Alligator mississippiensis: one gene and its partners. The protein of the gene in region 2 purifies or fractionates together with the protein of the main gene of each other region. This does not show direct contact. Links are inferred from orthologs where the notes say so. Each region holds a gene or a part of one and is shown on either strand. Other genes may lie near its edges. The genes, in order: ZFHX3, CHD4, EHMT2 and ZNF512B.

Region 1 (7,844 bases), on a different chromosome or scaffold from region 2:
ATATTGTATAAATGAAATGCAGGGCTCTGCTAATGAACAGCACACTCACTTCCTTTGTGCACTCCCCTGAATTAACTCCACAGCACTCCATCAGGAGAAGCTTTAGTAATAACATGCATCTTGGTCAGTGAACTCAGGCTCTGGAACACCTTCCAGAGAGAGCAACCTTTATTTAAGTTGGCAAAAGGTGGACTTTGGCAGAAGGGCGTCACCTGAACTCAGTATCCTGACAGCATGTACAGAAGTAGCCACTTCTATGACAGTGATGGTCCAAATCATGATGGTGTCTTGTTACAATCAACACCTTGACATTCCTTTCTTAATCACATGAGCAGTCACATTCTGCTCTTGTCAAAGCTTCTGAGCTGTCTCAAAGGACAGTCTCCCAGAGAAAAGTGTGTCATGTTTTTGGCTGGTTTATTGCCAAGGCATAGACTCTACATTCACCCTTATATATCAGCTCTAGAAATGTAGGGCTGGAAGCGACCTCCCTGCCAGTGAGTCCAGTTCCACATTACCTATACTGTAGCCTCTCCATATTTAACTAGCCCTGATAATCTCATAAAGCAGGGATGGCCAACCAATGGCACTGGCACACAACAGATAGAGGAGATGGCAGGTAGCACAGCGGCAGACTGGGTAGGGAGCAGAAAACAGAGCAGCAGATTGGGCAGGGGAAGGGATTGGAGTGGCATGTAGGAAGGGTGCAGGGCTTAATGTTGGCATGCCTGCCAAAAAGTTTGGCCCCCAGTGTCGTAAGAAAAGAATGAGCCTCTTTGTAAGATCAATTAGCATAAATGGCTTATCAATTCAAATCTGAATTTGTAATTCAAATGTCCCCTCATAAGAAGGAAAAGAGACCGTAGCACACCAGTATGGAAGGGGTCACAACATAGTTATGAATTTCTGTGATAGCTGTTTAATCCCCAGGAAGCGTTAGCTCTTTATTTCCAAGACCTATGACATATCAGAAGACTTAGGATTTGCCTATATGTGGAAGTGGGTAAGAAGTAGTGTGAATTTAAAAGGAATACTTTTCTGCATTAATTCTCTATATGAACGTTCTGCACAGAGGGCTGAGTGTGGTTTAGGTTAATCCCGGAAAGGCACTCACAGTACAGAATAACGTGTCCGCATGAGGAAGTAGTGTGGAATAGCGTATTGTGTCTTTATCTGCACCACAACTTATCCTGCACTAACTTATCCATGACAGGTTTTAGGAAAATAGCCACTCCCGTGAAAAGCTGCACTTACCATTGACTTTTTTAAACATTCCATACATGTTCTCCAGGTAATCATGGTCTAGAAACCAAACACTGTCATCTTTATCATCCTCATCAAAGGGAACTGGAAACAAAACAGAGCTCAATATTTAGTAGTTCAAATTTTAGTCTGAATGCTTCCATAGAAAAAAAGTAAAATTTGTTTCACAAGTCCTTACATGCCAACGGGGAAAAATAATTTATTTTGAATTGACAGAGTTCAACCACTCTGCTCTATTGGGCTGCACAAACTGCTATAAAACTGAACGGCAACGTTAACAGATTCTCTCACAGAAAGGTTTTCTGATAATTACAGAATCACTTGATGACACAAGTAAAAGCAAGGCAACAGAAAAAAAAAAAAGCAAGGCAACAAGATGACGCAAGTAAAAGCAAGGCAACTTGTCAGTTTCTTTGGGTGGGCAACAAAGTGTTTGGTAGTAAATGAAACAATTCATATTGGAGTAACTGACTCAATATTGGTGGGAAAGGACTTCTGATAAAGCAAATTCAAGATCTTAACAGAACATGATAGCTCGCTGGATCAGAAGTTTGTATAATGTAAAAGGTAGTCTTCTGTATAAGGTGAATTAAGATGAACAAGCTAGACTCCTATGAAGTCTATTAAACATAGAAATCGGAGAAGTACGGCTGGGAGGGACCTCAAGAGGTCATCGAGTCCAACCCCCTGCCTGAAGTAAGACAGGTCTTGTGTCCCACAGGGGGACTGAACCTGTGACTGGCATTATTAGCACCACCTAACCAACTGAGCTAATCAACCACTCATCATTCTTGCTCTTAAATTGTAGCTTTTAAATACAGCTACAATTTAAACAAAATGTAACAGTATCCTTACAGGCCAAATGTAATTAGCTTGTTGAACTCTCACTGGGCACTGCTTGAGGAAAAGAGCTGAACTTTAAACACAATATTGGATCTTCCTATAAATATATAGCATCTCATCTAAAATAGCACCTGCTGGGGTACAACTCAAGTTACAAAATAAACACTTGTTTAGGGTAAAAAAGAAACCTCCAGCACGAACGTGAAGTAGAGCTGCTTCTGAAGTGTTGTGCACTGGATACTGCTGGGGAAAAGATGTAGAACCAGACTAACTGGAAAAGGGACTGTTTTGTAAGCAGGTAATTAGTATTCTTTGTGGCAAGGTAAATACCAGCTTTTTGACTTGATAAATGGCAAGAAGTCTTGTGGTCCACCTCAAACCAGCATCTAAGAGTCGGTATAGCCGGTAGACTGATGGGCTGTGAACAGGACAGGTCACACACTCACCTGCAAAACTGTTGGACACGTCTAATATTTTCTTCTGCCAAGAGCCCAGCAACACACCGACAACTCGCTTCTGATTCCCAACCTTTCCTATTCTAAAAAGAAAAGGCTGTCAGTTTGAATTATGGAGAACGTCTCAAACGCAAAAGAAACACCAGTGGACCAAACTAATTCATTCCACCATCTCAGTTTTAAAATTGGAAAAAACAGCACGGGTGTGGAGAGACCGGAAGTCGAGAAGGAAATACTTGTTCTGCATTGCTTACACCTAAAGAAGTCATTACCATGAGCTTTAAACCAAAGCTCTAATCTTATAATGTAATCACTCATGGATCAAACGCACGGACGCGTCCGCGCAGCTAATGGATGCAAGTGGTGGAAGTGAATAGAAGGCAACTACTGCATCTCTCCAGAACAGCAGATTGTAAAAACTGAGTCAACTTTCAAATTATTCAGTATCATCCATCATATATTTTTATAACGGTATGTTTTTCTGTTGCTGTATGTTGCCTTGAAGGGGAGAGAGGGGTGTTTTTTGGGTTTTTTTAACATCAGAAGTACTTGTCAGTTGGTGCAATTAAGTTAATTTAGGCACACTGAGCACAAATTGCACTAGACGTTTAGAGGAATATAATTTTATTCTCTGCCGTGCAAATTGTAGCTTTAAGCATAAAATTTGTATAGACCAGACAGATGAAAAGTGCCACATTTTCAATATGCTGAAAAACGATTCTTTTAAAGTCAGTCAGTTGTACCTAATAAAACGGTATTTATAACTCGTTAGCAATTTCACAATATTTGAACATTATTTTAACTCTTCCTGTTCGAGAAGAACAAATCGAATCTATTTGACAATAGCTTTTGCTTTCACACGAGCAAGAACCGTTGTGGTTGTAACTCGCTCGATTCCCAGCGTCGCACCCTGTAACAAACCATGTAAGCAGTCCCTGCTACGCCGCGCTGGCACCGCTGACTCCACGTCCACCATCCCATTTAACGGACTGGCTGTCCCAGCCCTTCGTCTACCGTGAAGACTATTACAGCTGCGTCTTACTTTGCCATAAGAAACTACCCCGCTAGTCTTGAGCTAAACGGGACGCCCGTGCACGCGGTTCCTACCGCAGGGACCGTGTGCTAAGGTGATATTTGGTCCCAAATCTGCACTCGCACAAAACGCAAAGTCATCTGCGTGCATAATCCGGGACCAAAACCGCACGTATGGGCGGCCACTGCCCAGCGGTTTCCACCCTGTGCGCCGCAGGGACCCGCAGGTTACGTCTACGGGGGTCGGCGAATGAAGACCACGATCAATTAAAAGCACGTGAATACCCACGCTTACAATTCAAGGGGGGCTGCGCCTCCGTGGGAACTTTTTTAGGGGTCTGCAAATGAAGAAAGGCTGAAAAACCCTCAAAGTTAGACCACTTATTTTTCATGAAAGCAACCGATCGGGGAAATCCAGCGTGGCGAGCCTGGCGCGGAGTTTCTACGCGCACCTACGGGGCCGAGCGCTCGGGTATGAGGCGCACGGAGCCTCAGACGTGGTTGTCCGTGCGAGGAGCAGCGAGACGAGGGTCGTGTCCAAGTGTCCAGGGGGGGGTTGGAGCCCTGCGCCGGGTCCGGGCGCACACCGATGCGGCGCTCCGTGGGGCCCAGCGCCCTTGGGCACCCTCTTGTGGCCGGGCGAGCGCAGGGGCTGCAGCACCCCACGAGGGCAGCACCCCACCCCGGCTGCCCTCAGGCCCGGCCTGCCTGGGCCCGCGGAGGGAGCAGGCCGGGCCCGTGACTCAGCGGCCGCGCCGGGGCCCGGCCTCACCTGTTGAAGTGATCCACCACGCTGAGCAGCACCAGCGGGTGTACCACCACCCGGTCCACGGCCAGCTCCGGCATCGCGCCCCCTGCTCGGCCCGCTCCGCCGCGTCTGTCCGCCCGCCCGTCGGTGCCCGCGCAAGGCTAGGCCCAGCTCCCCTCAGCACACTCCCAGCCTGCACCGCGCCGGGGCGGAGACAGCGCGACGCCATCTTGGGGAGGCGGGGTGGGAACGGGGAAGAGGGCGCCATCTTGGAGAGGTCAAAAGAAGGGAGGAGTTGAAGCGCCATGTTGGGGAGGGCGAATGGACGCCATGCTGGGGAGGGAGGAAAGGCGAGCCGGCGCCATGTTGGAGAGGTCAAAGAAAGGATGGAAGCGAGGCGCCATCTTGGGAAGGGCACAACAGCCGTTGCGAGGGAGCCCCGCCGCCATCTTGTAAGTCGGCGCCGTGGAGCCTCGGCCTGCGCCGCCATCTTGAGAAGGTCAGTGAGGCCTGTGAGCCTCGCCCCTCCTGAGGTGGCGGGGGGAGCCCGGAGGTGTCCCGCCTCCCCCGACCCGACCAGGTGTGAGGAAATACTGCCATAACACGAGGCTAATTACCCTGTACTTACCTAGCAAGTGTGATGCTGCGACGACGATTTTGGCTGAGGCGGTTTCACCGAGGTGGGAGGGGAGATGCCCTCGAATGCCGTCGGGTCCCCTTCAGGTGTCTGTGGTGCCTCTCACGCGAGGTCTCGCCTTTGCGGGGACGGGGGATTACTCCTGGGCTTTCCTCACCTGAAGACTAACGCCTCCGCGCTCGGGGCTGGCGTGTCGGATGCCCGCCGCGGGTTTGGGAGTCCGCGACGCCCCAGGCGGAAGCGTCCGGGGGGGTTGGCCATCGTAGAGGACAGTCCTGTCGCCGTCTGCTGATACCAAACCGGATGCCTTTAGGTCTGCTATTTTTCTCCTGAAGCCGTGGGTTATTCTCTTGAAACTCTGCCATTCTGCTGGGGAAAACCCACCCAACTGGACGCCTTTACGCCCGCTATTTTTCTCTTGAAGAGAAGACTAGAGGACAGAAAGGCATCTGGTTTCGTATCGGTAGAGGACAGGGCAGCAGGAAACGGGACTGTCCTCTGCGATGGCTGCTGGCCCGGGAGGTGGGAGGCTTGCCCGCTCGACGACTGACCTCTGCTCAGCTGACACACAGAATTTAAAACTCATCTGGCCGGTTTGGCCCAGGACACAAAATGAAAAAAAACCCCGTGTTTATACAGTCGTGAGCAATTGACAACTATTATATTAACGATCGATTACCTCATGCAGCATTATACACTTTCGAAGTGCTGTATTAGAGTTAAGTAATCACTCAGGGTAGATTTCGTAGCTGTCGGGGCTGAAAGGGGCCTCGTGAGAGCGCCGGGTCTAGCCCTTTGCCCGAGGCGTAGGAAGTCAGCTGGGGTCAGATCGCCCCAGCAAGATGAGCATTCAAGTGTTGCACTGATGTACCAATAACGATTTTCTTGGCTGATACCGACGGCCGATTATTAACCAGCTGTGCCAGCCGATACCGATCCAATAGCTGATTTACAGGAATGCAGCGGGCAGCTTGCACAGCAGTGCTCTGCCAGGGAGGCCGGGGGGGAGGGGAAGGGGCAGATTGCAGCGAAGGAGGGAGTGGGGCAGGGGCAGGGGCAGGCGCTGCACAGCCAGGGCGGTGAATGGGACCCCGGGGCAGGGCATGGGCCACTCATCCAGGAGGATGGGGAGGGGGGCAGTTCCCCACCACTTCATGCAGCCCCAGGGTAGGTATGGGGGCATGTGCCCCCCCCCACCCCTGGATTTGTGTGTGGGGTGGGAGCGGGCTGCCCGCTGCTGTTTGGGCCAGGGTCTGTGCCAGTCTCTTCCCAGCGGGGGGCTTTGGCTGCACAGGGTTGGGGGGGTTCAGCTGCATGGGGTGGGCGGTGGTGGTGCTGGGAGGGGTGGCTATGGGGGGGGGTTATGTTGGGAGGGGAGGCTTTGGGATGGCCGTAGACCCCAAGCCTCCTCCAGGGCCGCCCCTCCCAGTGCTGCTGCCTGCCCCATGCAGCTGAGCCCTCCCCACCTCTGCCGCCCCCAGTGCAGCCCCGGCTATCTTCTCCCCCTCCCCTCACTGGGAAGAGGTCAGTGTAGCCCCTGGCCCTGAGCCCACAGTGGGCAGCCTGCCCTTGTCCAGTGCACAAATCCAGCGGGCACGTGCCCTCCATGCCTACTCTGGGGGTGCACACAGAGGTGGAGAGCTGCCCCCCCAGTGCCCCCTCGACTAGTGTCCCACGCCCTGTCCCATTCCCTCCCTGCCCCACACCCCATCCTCCCACAGACTTATTGGCTGGATGCTGCACACAGCATTTAGCGGTGACATTATTGGCCAAAAAAACCTGATTGCCCATAATGTTAATTTTCCTGTTATCGGTGCCGATCCACTATGCGACTGATGTATTGGTGCACCTGTACTAATTACTCTTAGGAAGTGGTGAAGTCATGTATTGAATTTCATCAATTGAAATAAACACATAAGCTCAATACTGAAACAGGAGATTTAGGTTGGCTCTTAGGATAAACTTTACTATTATGGGGGAGTTAAGCACTGGAATAGATAACCTCTAGAGAGAGTGGATTTTCTGCCATTGGAAGTTTTCAAGAGCAGTCTTTTATTGGAATAATCTAGAAAGGGAAGATTTTTACTTGAGCAAAGATTGGCTATGGGGCCCTTTTGAGGTCCTTTCCAGCCCTTTTTCCCCTGAGATTGTATTACTTAATATTTTTATTAATTTTTACTTTCACCTGCGGTTGGTCTTTCCAGTGACTGCTCTCAGCTTAGGTCACAGGGAAAGTGTCTATATTTGCACAAGCTCCTGTGTTATTGTCCTTCCTATGCTTTTTTATCATGAATGAAATGCTATAGCTGTAAAGTCACAGAACAAACAGGGCTGTACATGTTAGACATCATTTGACAGTTGCATATTTTCTATCTGATGCTTAATGAAAATTATTCATATTCCTTTTGTAGACATCGCCTATGAATGGCTGGAGAGGCTTTTTTCTGGTGACATAATAATAAAATTATAATTACTAATAATATTTGGTGCTGACAGTATTCTGGTTAAGAGTCTCAAGGCCATCTAAGATATTTGTTAATTAAACCACATGGCCCCACTGCAAGGTAAATTAGTATTCTTATTCCCATTTTATAAAAGGGGAAAGCTGAGGTATAGAGACGTTATTTGCCCAAGGTCATACAGGAAATCTGTAGCAGAACTGGAAATAAAATCCAGATTTCTTCCATCCCTGTGTTTTAATCACCAAGATTTACTTTGCTGTCCAGCTTCTCATAAGAAAAAAAAATCTATTATATTTTTTCTTCTTTAGAAATTAACTGTCAAGCAAAATCTACCTACACTAGTTCTAATACCCTTAACAAAATGAATTTGCAGCCTGTCCTTAATTCAGGCTATTGATAATCAA
Region 2 (7,840 bases):
TTGATACTCATTCTTTATTTCTCACTTAATTTGAAAATAACCCCCCTGCGTTAAATAACATTAAAATGTAGCCACATCTAGATGGCATTAGCAAGCACAAGACAGAGAACAGGGTGAAGACAGGATAGAGAAATACTAGTATACTAAGGTGAAACCTGTCTTTATTTGATGGCCAGTATCCAGTAAAAGCGGATAGGACTTTGAGGTTCAGACTCTTGACAGAAAAAGCTGCAGGTAGAGTATCTCTTGTGGAGCCTGGAGAGAGAAGGCACAGGGAGATCCCAAGCATGGAGGAGGACCTCAGTTAAACTCTGTAGCCAGGGATTTTAAATACACACAAAAATCTAAGGCAGTGGTTCTCAACCATGTTAGATTCAAGGTACCCCTCAGAAAATACCAGCTTAGTTTTCACTCATTTTTTGACTACAGAAAAGTAATAGAGCTATTCTTCTGTTGCAAAAAATGAAGCCACAACAGCTCTGACCACAACTGGTCAGAATGTTGTTGACACTATGGATTCCTATTTGAAATCTCGGAGTTTACCTTGTGAATCATGTTTTCACACCTAACATTGTGTGGCATCCCTTGGCAGCCTTGAAAGGATTTGAAGCACCCCAGGGTGTTGCAGCACCCTGATTGGGAATCATTCTTTTAAAACAATTATTTGAATAGAGGCCCTGCCATGGGTAACCATGGGGATACACAGACTACTTCCCCCAATGTCAGTCTTTGAGGGGGAAAGTATTATGGGGTAAATGGAGAACTGTGTGGCTGTTTCAAAAATGTACTCACCCTTTCTCCAAACTAATCACAGCCTTGATGAAGCAGGTTATTACTGGATTTTGCTGAACAGAACAATGTTAAAATGGAGTTAAGTATAAATCAATTTAATCTGATCTGGCTCTACAATGTTCCTTCATCATAAATGTTTACTTTAGCCTGTTGTCTCTACAGTGAAAAAACTTTGAGCCATGAAGAATAAAAACTGAGGTGGGGAATTACCATTCATTACAAAAATATAAACCATACTAATGTTTTGAATTCAGAATAATGAAAGATTTCAGTGAATGTTAGCTAAATGGAAAATGTGTGGAAAATGGAAATATTTTACCCATGAATTTGTTGTATATCTGTTTGATTTACATTATACCAGAGTAGCACACAGCCCACTCCAGGTCAAAGCCCCTAAGAGGGAGATTGTTACAAAGTATACATGAAACCAACTCTGGTAACTGGCTTTATTCAACCTCTGCCAGAATGTTACTTTTTAACTTGTTGATCACACCCCTAGAAGCTAAGATCTTATGGGTATATCTGGAATTCTATAATAACTAACTGTGCAGAGGGCTGGCCTGCCTGTTTACCATGGAGTTACACAGATCTCTTCAACAAATCACAACCTTAATAGAGAGTATTATGTGAAGTCAGTAGGTAAATGAGGGAATGAAAAACATTGTTGATGTCTGTGTATAAAATGTAGGGAATGGATGCTGCTGTTATTAGAAGATGTACGTATCTATACTTGATGACAGTATCACATATATTTATGTATAGAATGGAAGATGCATAGTATTCATGTTAATAATAAGTCTTAGTGCTTATACAACAGCTTTAATCTGTAGATCCTTAGATAAAGAATAATATTATTATCACTATGCAAGGGAGAAAACAGTGAGGTGAAGACCTGTGCTGTACGTGTATATTGATTACACAGATGAATAGAGTGTCATGGGACTTATATATGTACAAGAAGAAGGTGAACAGTGTAATAGTATTTGGGGTGTAAAATCAAGTTTGGGTAATAATATAAGAAGGATGTGCACGGAACTGGCTGAGATGGATCACGTAAGGGAATTTGTTCTTATAGTTACAGGATGTTGGAGCATATAATGGGTGCAATTAAGTATAATCAAAGATGGATAATACTATCAAATGTACATGCTAACAACGAAGGTCCTATTATAGAATGTCCATATATATATATATAGTGAAAGGTTTGCTAGCCTGATGGGATGTCCACGCATATAGTGGCAGGAAAGAGACAGTGGTAGGGAAAATCTGTGCATATAATGTGTGTATAGGTAGTATTATGTGATGTGTGGGATGAAGAACAGTTTGTACTGCAGTGTGGCAGTGTGTGTAACATGAAGGCCTTCAGCAGTATCCTGAGGATTCATGTGCTTCAGATACAGTATGGGTAAAATTGTGGGACATTTGTGCACGTAATGGGGGAGGAGGAAGGATGAATAGCATGATGTAATGGAGGATGGGTAACATTATGCAATGACCATGTATGTAACGAGTAGGATGGACAATATGGAATGTCTGCCTCAATAACTGGGAGTTGTGGAATGTCCTGGTAAACTGGAGCGGTTAATATTATGGGACATCAATAAGTACAATGAAGATCTGATATATTTAATGGGATGTCACTTTGTATGATGAGGGATTAATTATATTGTACGAAAGTATGTATTATTGGGTTATTTGTATTTTTATGGAATGCCCATGTCATTATAAAGTGATGATTAGTATGACTAGTAAGGAAAGGACAATGCTATGAAGCGTCTAATAAAAGATATCACATCTGCCCAAAGAACCTTGTCTGCTTATGTCCTTAGACCAGCACGGCTACAACCAAAAACCGAAAACTCTAAAGTGTCTCAAGCCTATAAACAGGAAAAATGTCTGTGTGTAATTGGGATATGGGGAGTTTTATGAGTGCCACTGTTTATAATGGAAGGATGCCTTGTATTATGGGCTGTGTGTGCCTGACCTGGGATAAATATTCTTAGAGCATTTACATGTATAAAATAAAGTGATTAGAGTTGGGATTGCATTCTGGGAAATCTGTGTGCACTGTGAAGGGGAAGTAGGGTGTTCTGCATATACTGGGAGGGATAAGTAAGTAGCATGCCAGTATGTACCATGGGATAACAGAAGGAAGGGAAGAATTACAATACGAGATGTTTGTATAGGGAATGAAAGGTGTGAACAGTAATATGGGATGTCCGTAACAACAAACATGCATGTGCGCGTGCACACACATACACACAGAAGCACTCGATGAATGCTGGAGTGTACAAGGAACAAGAAATGCTATCATGGGCAGTCTGTGTGTATACTGGGAGGAAGCAGGATACCATTATGGCACAGCCATGTTTCTAGCATGATGGGATGCTCGTGTCTGTGGCCAGGAGCAGCTAGCATAATGGGAGAGGGTATTTTTGTTCATTTGTTTGTTTTTAATTTATAGCCGAGGCCAAATTAACCAAAACTAATTCCAGATCCAAGAGTCCAGAACCATCAGTGGCTCTACTCCACCCACACTTCGGGCTTCAGATGTTTCCAAATCCTTTGGTAGGCATCCTACTTGCAGGCCCAAGCCTGGAGAGTTGGGGTTTGGATGTCCCTGAGTTTTGCCTGCCTTTAGCCAGAAGGCCCTTGGTTGCAAGGGAGGAGACTCCCATTTCCATAAAGTGGGCTTAAAGCCACTGCACCTCAGCAGGTACTGAACCACGCCAGAAGAGCAGTTCTCCCGGGGTGTGGTTCAGGAAAACTGCCTTCATGGACACAGATATATGATATTTCCCCTGCCAGGTTAAGAAGCCACTACACTTGTCCTGAGCCATGAAGAGGCTAGCACAATGGGACATGAGGTTGGTAGTGGTTCACAGGCACAGCTCTGCACCATGGGCTGCCATGCCTTGTGGGTGCAGTGCTGGATGCTGGACTCCCTTTGAAGAGTGGGTGAGCTGATGACTGTGAGACGTGTGCCTGGAGGTCAGCTAGCATGGGCTCGCTGCCTGGGTGCGTGTTGGAGGGGCGCTGAGCACTCTGGGGTATGTGGAGTCTGCATCATCTGGAGGCATAAAGAATCCTGGCAGGCTATGCCAGAGTATTATGGGCTGCAGGCTGGCCCCGTGCCCCCAGTGGTTACTATGCTCCACATACAAAGGCGGGGAGGGGGCCTGGAAGTGAGCGGTCAGGGGTACAAGGAGGTTGGTGGGCAGTGGAGGGGCCCAAGTACCGTGGGCTGTTAGCTGGCACCCTGCTCAGCCTGGTCCGCCTGCATGGAGGGGGGACATATGAATGCGATTATTATGGGCTGCTTGGCTGGAGTGAGGGAGCGGGCAGTGAGTGCGAGTATTGTGGGTTGTGGCTAAGAGTTGCTGAGAGTATTATGGGATGCCGGGCTGGACCGTGGCTCCCGGCTACTATTATGGGATGGCTGGCTGAACGCAGCATGGGTGGGGGAGGAGGTGGAGAAGGTGACTATTATGGGATACATATCAGGGGGCATGACTATTATGGGATGTTATGGGGCTATTGTGGCACCTGGTAGTAGGGGGCTTGAAGAGGGGGCAGGGCTTATTATGGGATGCCAGGCCAGGCAGTGACAGGATACCTCCGTGAGGGGGCGGGGGGTTACCGCAGGATGTGTAGGTGGGGGGGAGGAACTATTATGGGTTGGTGGGGGGTGGAGGTGGAGGTCTGTGGGGGGGAGAGTGTGGAGGTTATTATGGGATGTCTCGGGGAGGGAGGGTGAGGGTGAGGCAGGGGGCATTATCGTGGGTTGGTGCAAAGGAGTATTATGGGATGTTGGAGTGAAGGGGTTAGAGTGTGGGGAGTATATTATGGGATGTTTCTCCGAGGAAGGGTTCTATTATGGGATGTTCCTGATGGAAAGGGGGGGAGTTGATTATTATGGGATGCAAGGCCGGGCAAGTGAGTGGGGAGTTCTGAGTGGAGGGTAAATATTATGGGATGTCTGGTTGCCCGGGTGACAGGGGCGGGGCTCGTTGCCGAGGTGCCGGAGCATATTATGGGATGGAGGTGAGAGTAGGCGGGGCCTGGCTGGGGTTTTTTTCCCCCCTTTAAGAGGCGGCACCGGGGCAGGAGCCATTTTCCCTTCAGCGGCGGCGAGTGGGACTGGGTGAGGAGCCGGGAGAAGACGCGGCCGGGGGGGTGGCAGGGGGTGCCGCCCCGGGTCCCTCGCGTGCCCGCCCGGCGCCCCGTGGGGCCCCGCGCCCGGCCCAGCCTGCACGGGGCGCACCTGCCGCCCGGCCCCGGCCCCACCGCGACGCGGCACCCGAGCGCCTCCTGCCCCGCCCGCCCCCGCCGGCCTGGACGCGGCCTTTGTTGTCCCCCGGCCACGCCGCGCCGGCCGCTAGGGGCAGCCCCGGGGGCGGGGCCGGGGCCAGGGCCGGGCGGGGGAGCCCCCTGGGCCGGCGCGGCACGGCGTGGTCGGGGACTGGAGGCGTGGGCCGGGCCTGCCGACTGGCGCGGCTGCTGCCCCGGGCCCCTGGCGCTGGCCCCGGCCCAGGCCGCCTTCTCGTCGACAGGCAGAGCCGGCCCTGGCAGGCAGGCGTGCGCCCGCCGGCCCCAGGCGTCCCCTCCGGGCCGTGGCGCGGCTCCCGCCAGGCAGGACTCTGCTGCTCGGCTTCGTTGCCGGGGGAGGATGGGGGCTGGTACCCGCGCGCAGCCGCCCCCTTCCCAGTTCTCCAGTCCGCTCCCCACGTGCTGCGGGGGGGCAATCCCTTCTCTGCAGGGTGGGTCTCCTGCCGGCTGCTGTAACTTACTTTCCTTCTCCCTTTTCAGGAAGCTGACGGGCAGGAGGAAGGAGACAAGGCTGCACGAGCTGTGTAAGCCCTGGTGTCCCTGCTTTGGGAAGACATGGCATCAGGCATTGGTCCGCTGTCACCCTGCTCTGCTGGTAGCGATGATGATGAGATGGAGATCCTGCTGAACAACAGTATTCCTCAGCATCCAGGTATGGATAGCACTGTCAGGATCTCTGCTGCGGCAAGCTGTGGCTCTCTTCTGTCTTGGTCAAGTCAGTGGTGCTGTGGGAGACAGTGGCAGGAGAAACTTGTATTGTTCGGAGGATTTCGCGTCTGATTGGAATATTTGGGCCTTAATGGTTGTTTTTAAGAGCGGCTGGTCCTGCAGTTCAGTGAGGTGAAGTTTCTCATTGCAAGCTGTTGCTGGTGGGTGGGAACATGTACCCTGATGGAGCCACCCACCGCCTCTAGAAGGTGCACACTTCATGGCTGGCGGGAGGATTCTGCGTTGGGGCAGGGTGTCGGGTTTGCACTTCTTCACTTGGGAGCTTAGACCTGCTAGCGTCCAGAGCAAACTGCCCTGGGCTATTGCATGACCCAGTTTCTTTACCCACCACACCCTGTTCTCTCAGCTTCTCCTGGATCCTGCTCTGCTGCTCCCCTTAGCCCTCTCTTTGTTGCAGTAGACGTACTGACTGCAGTGTGGTTGTAGGATGCAATCCTCTGGTGTATTAACCTGCAGTCCCTGTATCTGCCTCTTCTTTGTAAACGTAGTCCACGTGCCTCACACAGAGACTGAGAGCTAAAGAGACTGGGATTTATAACTGCTACTTCATTCCCAGCATTGTTACTGTATAGATCTCTACCTCTTCTCTCAACCTGTAAAACAAGGATGAATGTGTATCCTGGAGTAGTGGGTTGTAAAACATGAGCCTGAATTTGCTTCTGAACTGCCTTTTCACGCCATAGGTGAAAGGTGGCAGCAAAGTCTTGTCAACAGAATGCCATGGTATGGCTTATTATGGCCAGTTTGTTTTTGGGGTCCTCCTAGTAGCTGCAGAGCTCTGGAGAAATCTCGAGGGACTGGGTGAGAGTGAAGCAATGGAAAGAAGCTGAAAAATGGTGTTCCAGCATCTCCTCCTGAAGAGGGTATCTGTGAGCCTAGGAAAAGGAAGCCTTGTTAGGGTCGGGGCCAGGCCCCTCATTGGTTAAGTCACTGGGAAGTTAAGAAGCTTGGGCAATGTACTAAATGGTGTAGGGACATCAGACAGTTCTAAATCAGAACTTGCTGGAGGGGTAGATTATGGAGCCCACACTTGTGGGTAGGATTCAGTAAATGTTGCTGGATGAAGGCATACTTATGTCAATTAGAAATGTGGCAAGAATACTCTCTCTGCCCAAAGATACAGGATCCCAGGCTGAGCACTTCCTTTCTCTCTTGTCCTTTGGTTGTTGTGACTTGTGGCTTCCCCCATCTGGCTTAGCTCCTGTGGTCAGGAGGCCATTTTCCCTTGGAGGGAGAGCGAGTGACTCTGTAATGGGCGGGGCGGCAGGGGAAGGCGAATGGTTGGACTGCTATGGATCTTGTCACAAAGGAAAAAGCTGTCTGGCTGTCCATGCTCCTCTGGGCTTTGTGTGGGGGGAGGGGGAACAGATGGGAGTGTGTGGGGGAGCTGGCAATGCATTACAGTGATGAGGGATTGAGCTTGCTGACTTGTGCTTGAAGAAGGGTTTGTGGATCCTGTTGCACTGGATTTCAGCGAGTTTGCCCTAAGCAGCAACTATGCAGGTGGGAGAGAGGCAAGCAGCAGATGACAGTTTTGATCTTTGCTTGCCATTGCAGGGTCTCTTGTGCTGAAAACATTTTTATGGGAGATCTTGGGATGGAGCCCATGCTCTGATTCCAGCCTAGCTGGTCCTTGGACTTTCTGCTGTGTTGTAGTCTGTCTATCCCAAAGACCAAGGTGTGGCTCCCTCTCTCTCTTCCTTTTCCCTCCCCCCACTTTTCTCCTGTGCCACTTTGCTGGCCACATCTGCAGGACTCGGCAGCCCACTTGCTCAATCTTTGCTATGTCTGCTGAGCTAAAGAACTTTCTAATCCTCAAATATTTCATGTGGCTCTGCTCAGAAAAGTGTCACTGAGACAAAAAGAGGGGATGGATAGTGATTTTTTGCGGGGGCGGGGGGGATGATAAGGAGGGAACACAGGGTGTATTGGAGCTATTACTCTCTTATTCAGTGTGGCATAATCTGACTAGCCAGACTTGTTTCGAATG
Region 3 (7,512 bases), on a different chromosome or scaffold from region 2:
CTCCCACAATGCACCGGGGCAGCCCCGCCCCCACTTCCCACGCTGCTTTCAGGCCAACACAAAGCCTCTTCCCACAATGCACCACGCAGCCCCCCCTCAACCCGCCCCCCGCCCCCTTAAGACCCCCCCTCTCCCTTGTGTCCAATTTCTATCCGGCGGACAAATAACCGCCCCCCCTTGGTGGGCGCCCTGTCCCTTTAAGGGGCCCCGGCCTCGCTCGGCCCCTTTAATTCGCTCGCTCCGGAGCTGCCTCCCGGTTCGCAGAGGCGGGGGGAACCCGGCCCCCCCACGCGCCCGGTCAGGGGGGGCTGCGGCGGAGGGGGGCGTATAGGGGGAGGGGCTGGGGGGTATGCAATAGAGGGAGGGGCTAGGGGGGTGGTCGTGCCATGGGGGGAGGGGCTGGGGGGGTCCATGCAGTGGGGTGGAGGGGCTCCATGCAGCAAGGGGGAGGAGCAGGGGGTCCCACAATGGGGGGACATGCAATGGGGAGTGGCTGGGGGGGTCCACGCAGTGAAGGGGAGGGCTGGGACAGGGGTCCGTGCAGTAGGGGGCAGGGATGGGGGGGGTCTGTGTAGCGAGGGGGAGGGGCTGGGGTCATCCATGCAATGGGGCAGGGGCTGGGGGCTCCAGCTATTGACCCCCACCTTTCTCTTGCAGCTTCATCAGGTGCACCCCACTGTCGGCCACCTGGAGCTCTCCCAGCTGCCTGCACCCCCCTGCTTGGCCCCTCCTGGGCCCCCCCACCCCCATCTTCCCCAGTGCGTCCCAAACCCCATCTCCACTCTCCTGGCTCCCCCATTCCCTTCCAGCCCTGCCCCCGTCTCTGCCCCTCTCCTTCCCCCCCAGCCCCAACTCCTTCACCCATTTCTTGCCCCTGACTCCCCCACCCTTCCAAGCCCCCCCAAAACCCCTGTCTCAGCCCCCCAGGCCCTTCCAAGCCGCTCCAGCTCCCCCCAAACCCCCCACTTCCCCACAACCTGCCATCTTAGCTCCCCCAGAGCCCCTATCTCAACCCCCCCAGGCCCCTCCAGCTTTTTCCAACAGTGCCCGCACTCATCCAGCCCCCCGAACCCCTATCTCCTGCCCCCCAAGACCACCCACCTGTCCCCAGACATCTCCAAGCCCCCCAAACCCCTATCTCAGCCCCCCAGACTCCTCCCCAAGACCACCCAGCCTGCCCCAGAGCCCCTCAAGCCACTCCAGCTGCCCCCAACCCCCCCAGCCACTTCTGAACCCCCCTCAGACACATCCAAGCCCCCCCGTTTCTTTCCCCTAGACAGGCCTCTAGACACCCCCAAGCCGCTCGAGCTCGCCCACTCTCAACCCTCCCAGGTTCCCCCAAATCCCTATCTGCACTCATCCAGAGCCCTCGGGTCCCCATAGCAACCCCATCTCAGTCCCTCACCTCCCCAGGTCCATCCAACCCCCCATCTCGGCCCCTCCAAAGCCCCTGGGTCCCCCCAGCATCCCCACCCCGGCCCCCCAGGCCCCGTCTCTGGGCGCAACAATGGCATCGGGGCCGGAGCTGCTGCGCTTCCAGCTGCCAGGCCACGAGGCAGCCACGCTGCGCAACATGAACCAGCTGCGGGCCGAGGAGCGGTTCTGCGACGTGACCATCGTGGCCGAGAGCCTCAAGTTCCGGGGGCACAAGGTGATCCTGGCAGCCTGCTCACCCTTCCTGCGCGACCAGTTCCTGCTCAACCCCAGCTCCGAGCTGCAGGTCTCGCTGGTCCACAGCGCCCGCATTGTGGCCGACCTGCTGCTTTCCTGCTACACGGGTGCCCTGGAGTTTGCCGTCCGCGATGTAGTCAACTACCTGACGGCTGCCAGTTACCTGCAGATGGAACATGTGGTGGAAAAGTGCCGCAATGCCTTGTCCCAGTTCATTGAGCCCCGCATCGGCCTTAAGGAGGACAAGCCAGGGGCAGGCGGGGGCCCGCGCCCAGCCCCCTTGCGCCACACCAAACCGGCCCCCCGCAAGCCTCGCCCACCTGTCAAGCTGGAGCTGCGCCTGGCCGAGGAGCCTGAGCCCAAGGATGAGGACGATGATGACGAGGAGGATGACGGGGATGAGGATGCCGTGTCCGACATCTGCATTGTCAAGGTGGAGTCAGCCTATGAGGTGGCCCAGCGCCACCGCAAGCAGCACCTGCTGCAGCCTGCCTGGGCCAAGGATGGGGCAGCAGGGGCCAGCTGGGTCAAGGACGGGTCTTCTACCGCCAACTGGGTCAAGGATGGGTCTTCCACAGGCAGCTGGGCCAAGGATGGGTTGTCGCCAAGCAACTGGACAAAGGAGGGGTCATCGGCGGCCAACTGGACAAAGGAGGGGACATCGGCAGCCAACTGGGTCAAAGAGGGGTCAGCCATGGCCAACTGGAGCAAAGAAGGGTCTTCCATGGCCAACTGGGCGAAGGAGGGGTCATCGCCAGGTAACTGGGCAAAAGAGGGGTCGTCGCCGGGCAACTGGAGCAAAGAGAGGTCATCACCGTCCAACTGGGCCAAGGAAGGGTCGTCGCCGGGGACGTGGGCCAAGGAAGGGTCGTCGCCAGGGACGTGGGCCAAGGAGGGGTCGTCACCAGGGGCGTGGGCCAAGGAGGGCAGCTGGGCCAAGGAGGGCCCCGGTGACGGCGAGGGTGAGGACCCGGGCCCCGAGGCGGCCGGGCCAGCACCAGGTGAGCCAGGCAAGGCGGTGCCAGGTGTGGTGAAAGCCCGCTATGCCCTGGCAGAGGACACGGAGGGCGAGGGGCTCCTGCTGCTGCCCCCGGGGGCCTACCTGGAGCCCGGGCCACCCAGCGGGGGTGGGCACGGGGCCGGGGGTGCGGGCGGGGGGCCGGCGCGCTGTGCCAAGTGTGGCGAGGCCTTCCAAGGGGTGGAGAAGCTGGTGTTCCACATGCGGGCCCAGCACTTTGTCTTCATGTGCCCGCGCTGCGGGAAGCAGTTCAACCACAGCAGTAACCTCAACCGGCACATGAACGTGCACCGCGGCGTCAAGTCCCACTCGTGCGGTGTCTGCGGCAAGAGCTTCACACAGAAGTCCACGCTGCACGACCACCTCAACCTGCACAGCGGCCTGCGGCCCTACCGCTGCTCCTACTGCGACGTGCGCTTCGCTCACAAACCCGCCATCCGCCGCCACCTCAAGGAGCAGCATGGCAAGACTACGGCCGAGAACGTGCTGGAAGCCAGCGTGGCCGAGATCAACGTGCTCGTCCGCTGAGCCAGGGCTGGGTGGGGTGTGGGGGGCCCAGGGGCCTGGAGAACCCAGGTGTCCAGGGTCCAGATCCCGTAGCAGGTAGAGATCACAGGCATCGGGTGCCTGGACCCTGCTGTGGGTGGAGAACCCACACATCCAGGTGTCCAGATCCCATAGCAAGTAGAGAACCCAGGTGTCCGGATCCCATAGCAGGTAGAGAACCCAGGTGTCCGGGTGCCTGGACCCCACTGAGGGTGGAGAGCCCGGGTGTCCGGGGTCCGGATCCCGTAGCAGGTAGAAAATCCGGGTGCCTGGATGGCATGGCAGTGCAGAACCCACAGCAGACAGAGGACCCAAGTATCCAGGTGCCCGGACCCGCCATGGGAAGAGAACCCAGGTGTCCAGACCTCATAGCAGATACAGCAGGGGTTCCCAACCCCCGGTCCACAGCCCGGTGCTAGGATGGGACGGGCTGGCTGCCGGACCAGAAGTGATTGCGGACCGGCAAACTGCGGACTGGAAATGATGGGGATCCTGCAGACTGGCAGCCAACCCTTCCCTACGCGGAGTAGAAACAAGGGTTGGGGTTGGTCCGCAGTTTGCCGGTCCACGGTCGCTTGCCGGCCCTCAGCATAAGAAGGCTGGGAACCCTGCGACGGAGAACCGGGCGTCCGGTGCATGGGTGAGACCCCCGGTGCCCAGGTCCCGTAGCAGGTCGAGATCCCAGGGTCCCGACTCCCCGGCGGAAGGAGGCACCAGGCGTGCAGGAGTCTGGCCCCTGGGTAGTGCAGGTCCCGCGGCTGGAGAGGACTGGGGGGGGGGGGGGTGAAGCGGAGTTGAGGGTGTAATGGGGGGGCCCGGACGCCTGGGGTCTCCGGAGGGGGGGCGAGTTGCCATCAACCAAAGAATAACCACGTGAGCCCGCGGAGGGGCGGGGCCTGGGGGCTCCGGTAGCAGTAGCAGTAGTAAGAGGTATTACCCCGTGGTAGGCGGGGCTAGATGGGGCGGGGCCTAGACCCTGCTGGGGTGGGGGGCGGGCCTGGGCCCGGGGGGCGGGGCCATAGAGGATTAACCGTTTTTAGACTTTTTAACTTTTTTTTTAATTAAAATAATTCAAAAGGAAATAAAATTTGAGACGTTTTTATTGGGGGGGAGGCGGGGCCCGGCCGCTTGGGTGGTCTGCGGGGGCGGGGCCGGGCGCGGACGACCGGGGAGGGGGGGGCCCGGCACCACGTGGACCCGAACAATGGGCCGGGGGGGCGGGGCTCCGGGCGGGGCCGCGGCGCCTTTAAGGCTCCCGCTCGCCGTGACGTCAGCGTCGTGACGTGTCGCCGTCGCTCCACCCCCACCCCCAGCTCTGCAGCCGCAGCCATGGAGGCGGTGAGCGCGGGGAGCCGGCGGGGAGCGGGAGCCCGGGGGGGCGCGAGCCCGGGGGGGGTGGGAGCACCCGGCGGCCGGGCGCGGGGGGGGGGGGGACCCGGGCGTCCGGGCCGGGCGGCGAGGAGCCGGGACGCCGGGGTCCCGGCGGGGCTGGCGGTTGACCCACCCCCGCCCCCAGGAGCAGCTGCCGGAGGCGCTGGAGGCCGCCGCAGACGCAGGGGACGCAGGTGAGATGGGGGCACAGCCCCCCGCCCCCACTCCTCCTCCCAGCCCCCAGCCCCTCCCCCTACTCATCTCCCCCCCCCCCCCAGGGCAGCCCCCCATGGGCCAGGGCCCCCCCCCAGAGCCCTCCGCCCTCCTCTGCCCTGCCGAGGCAGGGGCCAGTGGGGACGAGGTGGCACCGAGGACCCAGGTGTCTGGGAGCAACAAAGAGCCCGAGGCTGAGAGCAGCCCCGCAGCCGGCGCCAGCCCCGGGGGCAGGGGGCTGCCAGGTGAGGGGCTGCGGGTCGGGGGTCGGGAGTGGGGGGCGCCGGCAGGGCTGGGGGCCGGGGCTGCGGGTCGGGAGTGGGGGGCACCGGTAGGGCTGGAGAGGGAAGGGAGCCAACTCCTGGGGACACCTGGGTCCTTGGCCCCATTCTCACTCCCTTCCCCCCCGGTAGGCCACGCTGCCAAGACCCTGCCGTCACCGCCAGTGGGGCCCGGGGGGCCCCCGAGCCGGGCCAAGATGTCACTGACCGGGGCAGGGAAGTCGCCCCCCTCGGTGCAGAGCTTGGCCATGCGGTTGCTAAGCCTGCCGGGTGCTGGCCCTGCCCCCAGCATGGGCCCCGCCCCTGCTGAGGCCCCGCCTTTGGCACCCCCAAGCCCGGAGCCCAAGCCCAAGGTGCACCGGGCCCGCAAGACCATGGCCAAGCCCGGCAACGGACAGGTGGGTGCCAAAATGCCTGGGTTTCCTCTGGAGGTGGGGGTCCCTTTGCCACATGGGTTCCTTCCCTAGCCTGTTCTTTGTGGGTGGGGGGGTCTCCCAGATGCCTGGGCTCTTCCCAGGGGTTCTGCGGTGGGATGGGGGGCAGGGGTCCCAGATGCATGTGTCCCATTTGTGGGATACATTTGGCTGGGTGTGGGGGGCAAGGGCTGGCAGAGGTTGGGGGGTGCCCCAGATGCTTGGGTCCCAGCCTGCTGCCCCCCCCAGGTGCCAGAGAAGCGCGTCTCCGAGATGCTGCACTTCCGCGTCTCCGACGATCTCCGTAGCATCGAGGAGCCAGGTATCTGGGTTGCGGGTCGGGAATGAGGGGTACTAGTGGGGCTGGGGGGGCTGCAGGTTGGAAGTGAGGGACACCGTGAGAGTGGCTGCCACCTCCCTCATGCCTTTGTATCCCCCCAGAACCCGCCAAGCGCCGGAAACTGGACTACGGCCCTGAGTCCCTGCACAAGCGCCTGCCGCCCACCTTGCCCCGTGCCAGCACTGAGGTACCTGCCCCATATGCCTGGGTCCCCTGAACCCTGTCCCCAGGCACCTGGTTGCCTTCCCTTCCACTGCATCCTGGACACCTGGGTTACCTACTCCTGACCCCACCGCTGCAATGTCTGGATCCTTTTTCCCTTGATTTTTCCCCTTCTTTCCTCATAGACACCTGGGTTTCCTTCTTCTGACACCCTCCCCTTGCACCTGAGCTCCCTACCTGGGAGCTCTCCCTCTTGGGCGCCTGGGTCCCCGTCCAGCTGGGAGCCTGGGCCGAGCTCTGACCCCCCCGCCCATTGCCCCCCAGATCACGGTGACGGAGGAGATGGCAGCACGGCCATTGGGGCCAGCGGGCGAGGATCGGGGCCCCGATGAGTGGGAGGCCGAGGTGGGAGCCGACTTCAGCCTCTTCTACGACAGCTACTCAGTGGATGGGCACAATGACTCGGACAGCAAGGTGGGGGCGCGGGGGCTGGGCTGGGCATAACAGGGACAGGAGCTGTGGATGGCTCTGGGGGACGGTGTCAGGCTAGGCCTGGACACCTGGATTCACCATGCTGGGCCCCACCCGCAGTCAGAGGCGGATGGGGCTGGGGAGCAGTTGAGTGAAGAGGAGGAGGAGGAGGAAGAGGAGGACGAGGAAGAGGAAGAGGAGGAAGACGATGAGGACGACGATGATGAGGATGAAGAGTCCGGGAACACCTCAGATAGGGTGAGGCCCTGGTGGGGTCGAGGTCACCAGGGGTGGAGCGGTGTACTCCAGAGCTGAGGCTGGATGGGGTCAGAGATAGGGAGGAGGGGCCTGGGGAGTGGGCTCAAGGGCTTAGATTGCGTGTGGATATGGGGTCAGAGGTCAGGCCTGAGCTCAGCAAAGGTCAGGGCTCAGAGTCTGGGGTGCATGGCCTGTGAGGGTGGGAGTCAAAGGCCTAGCATGGGAGCTTGGGTGTGCAGAGGTCAGAGACCACAGCTGAGGGTTTGGTTTGTGGAGTGTTGGAGACTTAAGGGGAGAGCGTGGCTGGGGTCACAGGGCACAGGTCAGGATGGGGTGGGCATTGGAGGTGGGGGAACTTCAGGGATTATGAGAGGGCCTGGGGGCTGTGGGTTGGGTGTGAGGGGCTTGGGGAGGGCAGGGGGCTGTGGACTGGGAGTGAGGGGCACCAGCAGGGCTGGGGGGTTGCCTCACCTGACCTGCCCCCCAGAGCGCATCAAGCACCAAGCGGAAGGCGCGGAAGCGCTGGAAGAGCGACAGCCCCTGGGTGAAGCCGTCACGCAAACGCAAGCGCAAGGACCCCCGCCCCAAGGACCCCCGAGGTGGGGGGGAGGGTTCTGGGTGTTCTGGGGAATGTTAGGAGGGGACTGGGGAGGGGGAGGATCCTAGGGGGGTTCTGGGTGCAGTGCCCCTGGCAGGGGATTTGGGGGGGGTCTCAGGATGGGAAAGTCAGATGCTGGGGGGCCCCCAAGAACTCAAATATCCCTCCTC
Region 4 (7,724 bases), on a different chromosome or scaffold from region 2:
TGTAGTGGCCGTGCTTCTCTGGGCCTCGGGTCCTTTACCTGGGCCAAGCCGACGCTAGTGCACAGTGCCCTCGAACGGGGAGGCATTGCCACGTCCCGGAGAGGGGAGTGCAACCCGTGCGTGGGTGGCGGTAATAAAGGCACTGCATGGGTGGCGCGAGTGGGACGCTGTGCCACCCTCGCAAGGGCGCTCTTGGCACGCCTGGATCAAACCTGCCGCCGTTTCTAGCCACGGGCAGTCACACCCGGCTCCGCTTTGCACTAGCCCGTGGGATGCACACGGGGAAACCGAGGCACGCTGCCTTCGGGGCCCTGCCCGTCCAGAGCCGGGCGAGGGCCACCGCGGGGCGGCTGGACGCTCGCGTGCCCGCTGTCCCGGGCGCGGGGGAGCTGGGGAAGGCGGAGCGGGACACGCTGCCGGGCGCTGCGGGGAGGGGGTTATCGGGGTGCGGGCGCGGGCACGGGCCGGCGGGGAAGGAATAACGCGAGAGTTGCAAGTTGCTTTTTCCAACCTCTTCTTTCCCGGCTGCAAAACTGGCAGAGGCGGCGGAGCCGGGGGGGAGGCGCTGCGTGTGTGCGGTGCGGGTGCGGGTGCGGGGCGGCGCGGGGCGGCGCGTGCCCGTCCGCCCAGCACCGAGGTAAGCACCGGCCGCCGCCCGGCCTCCCCCGCCGCCGCTCCCTCCCTCCCTCCCTCCCGCTCCCGCTGCCGCTGCCGCTGCCTCTCCTGCCGCTGCATCGAAAAGTCGCCATTTTGCTTCACTGCTTTTCCCCTCCCGGCCCCGCGGCCCCACGGCACGGCCCGGCACGGCACGGCCCGGCACGGACGGGGCGGCGAGCACGGCACGGCCGCACGGAGCGCCAGGGCCGGCCGGCGGTGGGGCCGGGACGCGGCCGGGCGCGGGAGCACGCGCAGGTGGGGCCGGGGCAGGTGGGGCGGGCTGCGTGGGATGCGCCCAGGTGGGCGGGTGAGTAGGGGACGTGCAGGTCGGATGCGCCCAGGTGTATGGGGGACGTGCAGGTGGGCGGGATGCGCCCAGGTGGGCGGGTGAGTAGGGGACGTGCAGGTCGGATGCGCCCAGGTGTATGGGGGACGTGCAGGTGGGCGGGATGCGCCCAGGTGGGGCGGGTAAATAGGGGACGTGCAGGTCGGATGCGCCCAGGTGTATGGGGGACGTGCAGGTGGGTGGGATGCGCCCAGGTGGGGCGGGTAAATAGGGGACGTGCAGGTCGGATGCGCCCAGGTGTATGGGGGACGTGCAGGTGGGCGGGATGCGCCCAGGTGGGGTGGGTGAGTAGGGGACATGCAGGATGGATACACCCAGGTGTATGGGGGACGTGCAGGTGGGTGGGATGCACCCAGGTGGGGTGGGTGAGTAGGGGATGTACAGGACGGATGCACCCAGGTGGGGTGGGTGAGTAGGGGACATACAGGACGGATGCGCCCAGGTGGGGTGGGTGAGTAGGGGATGTACAGGATGGATACACCCAGGTGGGGTGGGTGAGTAGGGGATGTACAGGATGGATACACCCAGGTGGGGTGGGTGAGTAGGGGATGTACAGGATGGATACACCCAGGTGGGGTGGGTGAGTAGGGGATGTACAGGATGGATACACCCAGGTGGGGTGGGTGAGTAGGGGATGTACAGGATGGACACACCCAGGTGGGTGGGGGACGTGCAGGTGGGCGGGATGCACCCAGGTGGGTGGGGGGACATGCAGGAGGGATGTCCAGGTAGGGTCAGGGCGGGTAGGTGACCTCCAAGTGGGGCTGCGCGGTGGGGACACGCAGGTGGGGCGCATTCAGTTGGGAGCTCCCGTGTGATTCCAGCCCGGGGCGGGGCAGGCGAGACCGGGCCGCCAGCTGGAGGCAGCGTCAGGCCGTGGCAGCTCCACCGTCACTAGACCCAGGCTGTCCCTGGGGGTCGGGGCGGCGTGTACCCTCCAGGCCAGGGAAGGGGCGTCTCTGCGAGACCCGTTCACTGTGCGCCGGCCAGGGCTGTGCATGCCCTGGGGTTATCGCCGCTCGTCACCTCTGGGTGCCTACATGCTCTCTCTGCCACTGCTTCGTGGCTGCAGGGGGGCGGCAAGAGTTGCTAGAGCAGAAACTGTAAAGCACCCTGGGCTTCCCACGCACCCAGAGATGTCCTCTGCGAAGGAACTTGGGCAGATTTCCCGCCCGCTCGAGGACACATTCGGTCCCTGCTCGGACAGCTCACGAGGAGACATGGAGAAACTTCCAGCCCTTCCTAAGCCAACGGGGCTTTTTGGTGGGTGCGTTTGCAACGGTGCTGCTGAAGAAGGAAGGAAATGAGTCCCTCAAGCGCGGTGTTTTGCGGAAAACGGAGGGGCGCGCAGCTCGCAGAGAGAGGGGAGGCTCTAAGAAAGTTACCGAACGGCAGATCGGCGCATGATTTGGGGGAGATGGGCGGAAAGGACTGCGAAACAGGAACGACGCAGGTCCAGGCCCGTGAGCCTTGCCCTGGGCCAGAAGAAAGGCTGTGCTCCGGAGTGAACGTCAGGCCTCTGGCGCTAACGAGAGCCAGGTAAATCCAGAGGCTCCCGCGGCTGCTCTCAGCTGCGTCCCTCTGTCCACGTGCGCCCGGCCTGCGCCCTCCTGCTGTCGGCTCGCAAGTTCTGCAGCTCGGGGCTCTTTTTGGCACGGAGCAACACGGGGAACATTTGCAGCAGCTCATAAATTATTCATCCTAAGTGAAGGAAATTGCCGAGGTCTCAGCCTGTTCTACATTAGGCATGTTCTTAACGATGTGGTTGGCACTTCACCCGGGAAGGGCAGGGGGAGTGGACCGTATTAAGGACCTGCAGGCCTCTTTTTTCCCCCTCTTTCCAGTCCTACAGATGTACTGGGGACTCTTAGATCCCAGCAGTTAGTGGCTGATGGCATCCACGCAGATAACCACGGGCCGAGATTGAAGGGACCAAACTCAGGTATAAATGGCTGCAACTTCATTCATTTGACCGGAGGCATTTAGCGGTGAGCAGAGGCTTTTCTGCACAATTTTCCCTCTGATGCGTCTTGTCCGATGGAGATTTTTAAGGCTTCCCGACGGCTTCCTTGGAATACCAATCTCTGGGTCTTGGCCACCAGGACCCAGGAAGCTGGCCAAGAAGCCTTGCAACTTCCAGTGGTAGGTCTGCTTACGATGCAGGGGAGACATTGCCCAGAACAATTAAGTAACTGCGATATGAGCTTTGCCTCTGTAGAATACATTGCACATCGATGGGACTCATGCCAGCTTATCCCAAGATGAACTTGACCCCAAAGGGACTGCATGACAGTGCGGCCTGTTCTCCGTATCCCGCTTCGTGCTGTCGAGCGAGAGCATCGAGGCCAGGCGTTTTTCCATGAGAACAAATTTGAAGTGTGTATGTAGGTTGTGTTGTCTCACGTGTCTCCCTCCTTGCTCCCACGTTTGGCTTCTGCGTTGTAATAACTTCTCATTGGACTCTGCATTTGGGGGCTTACCTCGTATCGACGCGCCTGGTCCTCGTGTTGGCCAAAGGGCGGAGGGGGGCGAGTTCAAGGATTAATCGGTTAAAATGCGCTGGTTCTGCCTGTTGCTTCTGGCAGGCTAGGACCAGATGCTTGAATTCGGGCTTCCCTGTAGCAGACCGGTGAGGTGTCACTTAATCACAGGCCTGACCCGCTTTTCTGCGCCTTGTGGGAACACCTGAATCGATCTCAGATGTCATTAACATGCCACGTCCCAGCACGACTGTATTTAGGGGCTGCTGGGCAGGGGGGATTTTTGTTTTGCTATTGTAAATTGAAACTGGCTTTCAACCCACCCTTAAGGAAGCAGAGGAGAGAGGTTGGAAGTCATCAATCGTCTTGATCTAGTGTGCGCGGGGAAATAAAAGGGAGACGTTTGGATATGCCGGGCTGGTTTCTGCTCTGTTGCTCTGGGGTGAGCACACTAAAAGCCACGGTGGGGTTGGGAGCAGATTTTTTGCCCTGCATAAACGGTATATTAGCTGGGATTTTAAGCTAAATTAAAGAGAAGGGCAAAGCTTTTAAAGAAGCAGCTGGGGAGGAAATAAAATCTGCGAGAGTTACAGAGCTGCAGGGCAGGGTTGGCTGCGAGGGGTGCGTTGAATGGAAGGAGCCGCGATTGTTCGGTGTTCAGGGTCGTTTTTCATTGAAGACACGCAGCGTAGCTTTTGGATGCGAAGTTTTTCCAGGTGCCAGCATATCTCCTGGCCCAAAGCTCCTCTGCTGTAATTTGTCATCTAATTAGGAGTTCAGTTAAGCATGGCAGTGTCTTAGGCCTGGTTTTACTGTGGGATTTGGTCGTGTGTCAGGAGTTTTGTAGGCTGCTTCATGTGTTTGGAGTGACCTGCTTCTTCCAGGGCCTGGGACATGCATCCTCAGCCTGGGGTCAGGCCATTTCATTGCAGCTTTAGCCCGGCTGGAGCTAATATATGGAGAGTCCTTCCTGGGATTTTTGCCAGGTGGGGTCACGATCCTGAAACAGGTATAGAGTAAGAGTGGGGGTTCGTCCTGCTTCTGTGCTCAGCCCAGCTCCTCTCTCCTCCTCCTTCCTGAGCCTTGCTTAGCCCCCGTCACATGAAGCTTCCCCAGCGTGTCGCACAGCGAGCCGTGTTCACGCAGAGCGTCTGTGACAGCCGGGGAAGCCCCGACTCCCAGGCCCCTGTTCTAAGCACTGGACCACGCTGGCCCCCGTGCACCAGTTGCAAGGGAAACGTTGCAGTCTGTCAAGTAAATAATAAGCTCTTAATTCTAAATGATCAAAGCATGCACATTTCTGCCATCAACACCGAGGTTTTATGGTCTAGCACTGTGGTTTTTTCTACCTTTTTTCATGTGTGGGCTCCTAAAAAATTTCTAATAGAGGTGCCAGACCCCTTTGAGTTGTCAGCGTGCATATTCACCTACTTTTGCTTCATCGTAGTCACCTTTTCCAGACCCCTTAGACATAGCCTGCAGACCCCCCGCAGGGGTCTGAGGACTATAGGTTGAGATCCACTGGTGTAGTACATGTCTAATTAAAACATGGCATCAGTATTCAGTAACACACCTGAACTGTACTGCTCTGGGAAGTGCTTTGAATTGTTACACCGTCTTGTGTTCACGGCTGAGACCAGCCATGTCAGGTTTTCTTGCGTTAAGTCTTTATTTCGGTGCCGTGCTGTTCTGTCTGTCTCCCCGTCTGCCTGTGTGTATGTAGCCAAGGAAATTAAATTCCAAAGCAGATCTATGTAAGCAATATCCCAGGTTGGGGATGAAGTTGCAGTGAGCACATACCTCAGTGGTTTCCTTCGGTATTCTGTCACATCAACACAAAAAACCCAACCCTGATTTTCTTCCTCATCTTGGTTTACCCCCTCCTTTGCATTTGCTTTCTAAGGATGACTGCACTGCGAGGTGTGTTCAAGGGATATAGGAAAGTAGGGCTGCAAGGGACCTCGTGAGGTCATCTCGGCCGGCCCCAAAGGGGTGCAGCACACAGTAAGAAACATTGGAGGAAAGGGAGTTTATTGATAGCGTTGGCTCTAGGTTGGGGCTCTCGGGCTTGTGCTTGCTCAGCGAGGGACCAGGTGTGACGCCGGGGGAGCTGGGTGCACAGACAAAGGGACTCGACACTGCTCCAAGTGAGCAGGCCAAACAGATCCCACGCAGGGTGTCTGGGCACCGTCTGTGGATCCAAGCCCATTCAGGGGCTGGGACGATGCAGCTGGGGCTGGTCCTGTTTGGAGCAGGGGGTTGGACTAGATGTGACCCCCTGAGGTCCCTTCCCACCCTCATTGTCCATGAGTCTCTGATAGGGATAACTCGATAAATAATTGTTCGATGGGAGACTCGTGTGTTGCTTGTACACAATCATGCCCTGCCCTTTCTCCTTCTTGTCTCCTAGCCTGGAAGATCTAAGTTAGTGGGGTGAGGACTGTCGGATGCTATATATTTGTGCAGTGCCTTGCACACCAGGGCTGCCTCCACCTGCTGCTGGGATCAAATCGTAGATAAAGCTCAAAGAAGCACACCAAGAAGCTCAGCTGGTGGAAGTCACGGTGCCTCTGCTGAGCTCCAGGCACCCGAGAAGGTGGAGACGAGACTGGGATGTCTCACTCGATCGGAGGATGACTAACCCTGGTGTCTGGGAAGATGACTAATCTTTCAGTACCAAAATTGCAAGCGGGAGAGTCTCGGAGCATTACCCGGTGTCCCCAACGTGGCTGGCTTTCAAGCCCAATGCACTGTCCTTGGCCACATAGAGAGTCCCATTAAGGACTCTCGGCTTCTTCCAATTCCATGTGTCCCCGTGTGAGGAGCGATGCCCTGGACATCAAAAGCATGCGTGAGTTGATGCCTGCACACCTTGTAGGATCAGATATCCAGGCTCTTAAGTGCTTTGCAGCTTGTCCAACAGCCCACCCTCCAGAGAGGGGCTTGCTGACCCGCAGGGGGCTTGCTGAATGAGCAGGGATGGGCTTTTTCTGGTTCTTTTTGACTGGGTTTCGGGCAGATGGAAGCAGAAGCAGCAACGTTGTTGGAGGTTTGGGTGTTGAGTCTAATCCGTGGCTTTGAGGGTGAAGTGGTTTGGCAAAGAGCAGAATGGCAGTGATCTCGCCAGGCCTCAACACACTGCTTGAGCAAAAGGGTGCACTTACCAAGTTGCACGTGAGCTAGCAGGAAGCTGTAGACCTTCAGGCCAGAAGGAATCGTTGCAGTCGTGTGCCCCCCGGCTAGAGCCTGCCCCGTCCGTGCAGGTTGCTGCCGGGGGCTGAGAGAGGAAGTGGCTGGGTACCGATAAAGCCACGGGGGCTGAGGAGTGGGGAGGGTCTGCGGAGGGTGGGAATTGCAACACCTCTGCTAGAAGGAGACGGTTGCTGTCGGAGAGGGGATGAACAACAACACCCTGCCCCTGCTTCAGCTCCGAGGAAGTGGCTCCGTGCATCAGGGCTCGGCGACAAGCAAGGATGTGGCTAGGCAGGCTCAGGGGCTATAAACGGCCTCCAAGCCACGCTGCAAGATGTGGTTGGCTGTAGAGCCAGCCAGGTCAGGCTCTGCCCGCTGCCCTTATCCCACCCGCGCGTCAGAGCCCAACACTGCTGGTCGTCATCTGTCTCTGCTGAAGCCAGTGGGGAAATTCCCATTGATTTCAGAGGTGCAAGATAAGGGAGCCTCTGGTCCTCTTCAGAAAACTGCCCGGTGGGATCATAACCCAGGCAAGGACTGGCACCAGGAGAGGAAATGGAACTGGGACAAAACGGGGGGACAGCTCGTGCCTGATTTCGGGACGTCTGGCACCGTCCTGGTTCTGGAGTCTAGTCGCATTAACTAGCACCCAGTCTTTCCAAACACGCTGTGCTTCGTTGTCTGTATCTAACGCGTGGAGGCGCAGGGCGCGTTGGGAGGTTAGTTGCGCTATGCATGTTCTTTATTTCTGAGCAGATGTGGCCGGCAGATGTGCCACGAGGGGCCCCGGGGTCTCCAGGCTGCCTCCGTTTCTGCTGTTCTTCTTGTTCACTTCTTGCATATCGTTAAGTTCTTTTAACACCCCTAAAAAGTGGAAGTTGGCAGCGCGTTCCTGTGTCCTTGCAAGCTGCAGGATGTACAGGGCTGGAACATGGGATTCTGTGTCCCAGGCTGGCACCGACTCGTCGGATGTTGTCGGGCAAGTCACCGAAGCGCCATGTTCCTGCAGGATGGATGTGCCAGCCTGTCAAGGCCATGGGTCAGTGTCT

Evidence for each region.
Region 1: the proteins of CHD4 (region 2) and ZFHX3 purify together in Homo sapiens (affinity purification with mass spectrometry, with the first as the bait; 3 studies listed by BioGRID). This does not show direct contact. The link is inferred for Alligator mississippiensis from reciprocal best matches to the Homo sapiens genes CHD4 and ZFHX3.
Region 3: the proteins of CHD4 (region 2) and EHMT2 purify together in Homo sapiens (affinity purification with western blotting; 3 studies listed by BioGRID and IntAct, with this or other methods). This does not show direct contact. The link is inferred for Alligator mississippiensis from reciprocal best matches to the Homo sapiens genes CHD4 and EHMT2.
Region 4: the proteins of CHD4 (region 2) and ZNF512B purify together in Homo sapiens (affinity purification with mass spectrometry; 4 studies listed by BioGRID and IntAct, with this or other methods). This does not show direct contact. The link is inferred for Alligator mississippiensis from reciprocal best matches to the Homo sapiens genes CHD4 and ZNF512B.

Annotation. Positions count from the first base shown.
Region 1 is NC_081833.1:76,505,269-76,513,112, forward strand, and holds the start of ZFHX3 (zinc finger homeobox protein 3), read left to right. Parts: upstream 1-4,843; 5' UTR 4,844-4,921; intron 4,922-7,844. Other genes in the region: PSMD7 (26S proteasome non-ATPase regulatory subunit 7), read right to left, coding at 1,255-1,347, 2,553-2,644, 4,366-4,439.
Region 2 is NC_081824.1:243,465,208-243,473,047, reverse strand, and holds the start of CHD4 (chromodomain-helicase-DNA-binding protein 4), read left to right. Parts: upstream 1-4,835; 5' UTR 4,836-4,936; intron 4,937-5,601; 5' UTR 5,602-5,676; coding exon 5,677-5,773; intron 5,774-7,840. UniProt on the Homo sapiens protein: ATP-dependent chromatin-remodeling factor that binds and distorts nucleosomal DNA. Acts as a component of the histone deacetylase NuRD complex which participates in the remodeling of chromatin.
Region 3 is NC_081834.1:62,582,775-62,590,286, forward strand, and holds the start of EHMT2 (histone-lysine N-methyltransferase EHMT2), read left to right. Parts: upstream 1-4,507; 5' UTR 4,508-4,564; coding exon 4,565-4,573; intron 4,574-4,751; coding exon 4,752-4,800; intron 4,801-4,884; coding exon 4,885-5,064; intron 5,065-5,232; coding exon 5,233-5,498; intron 5,499-5,762; coding exon 5,763-5,835; intron 5,836-5,954; coding exon 5,955-6,040; intron 6,041-6,339; coding exon 6,340-6,489; intron 6,490-6,606; coding exon 6,607-6,744; intron 6,745-7,231; coding exon 7,232-7,343; intron 7,344-7,512. Other genes in the region: ZBTB12 (zinc finger and BTB domain-containing protein 12), read left to right, coding at 1,508-3,217. UniProt on the Homo sapiens protein: Histone methyltransferase that specifically mono- and dimethylates 'Lys-9' of histone H3 (H3K9me1 and H3K9me2, respectively) in euchromatin.
Region 4 is NC_081832.1:2,817,267-2,824,990, reverse strand, and holds the start of ZNF512B (zinc finger protein 512B), read left to right. Parts: upstream 1-4,711; 5' UTR 4,712-6,288; coding exon 6,289-6,334; exon of another isoform or gene 6,335-7,724. UniProt on the Homo sapiens protein: Involved in transcriptional regulation by repressing gene expression. Associates with the nucleosome remodeling and histone deacetylase (NuRD) complex, which promotes transcriptional repression by histone deacetylation and nucleosome remodeling.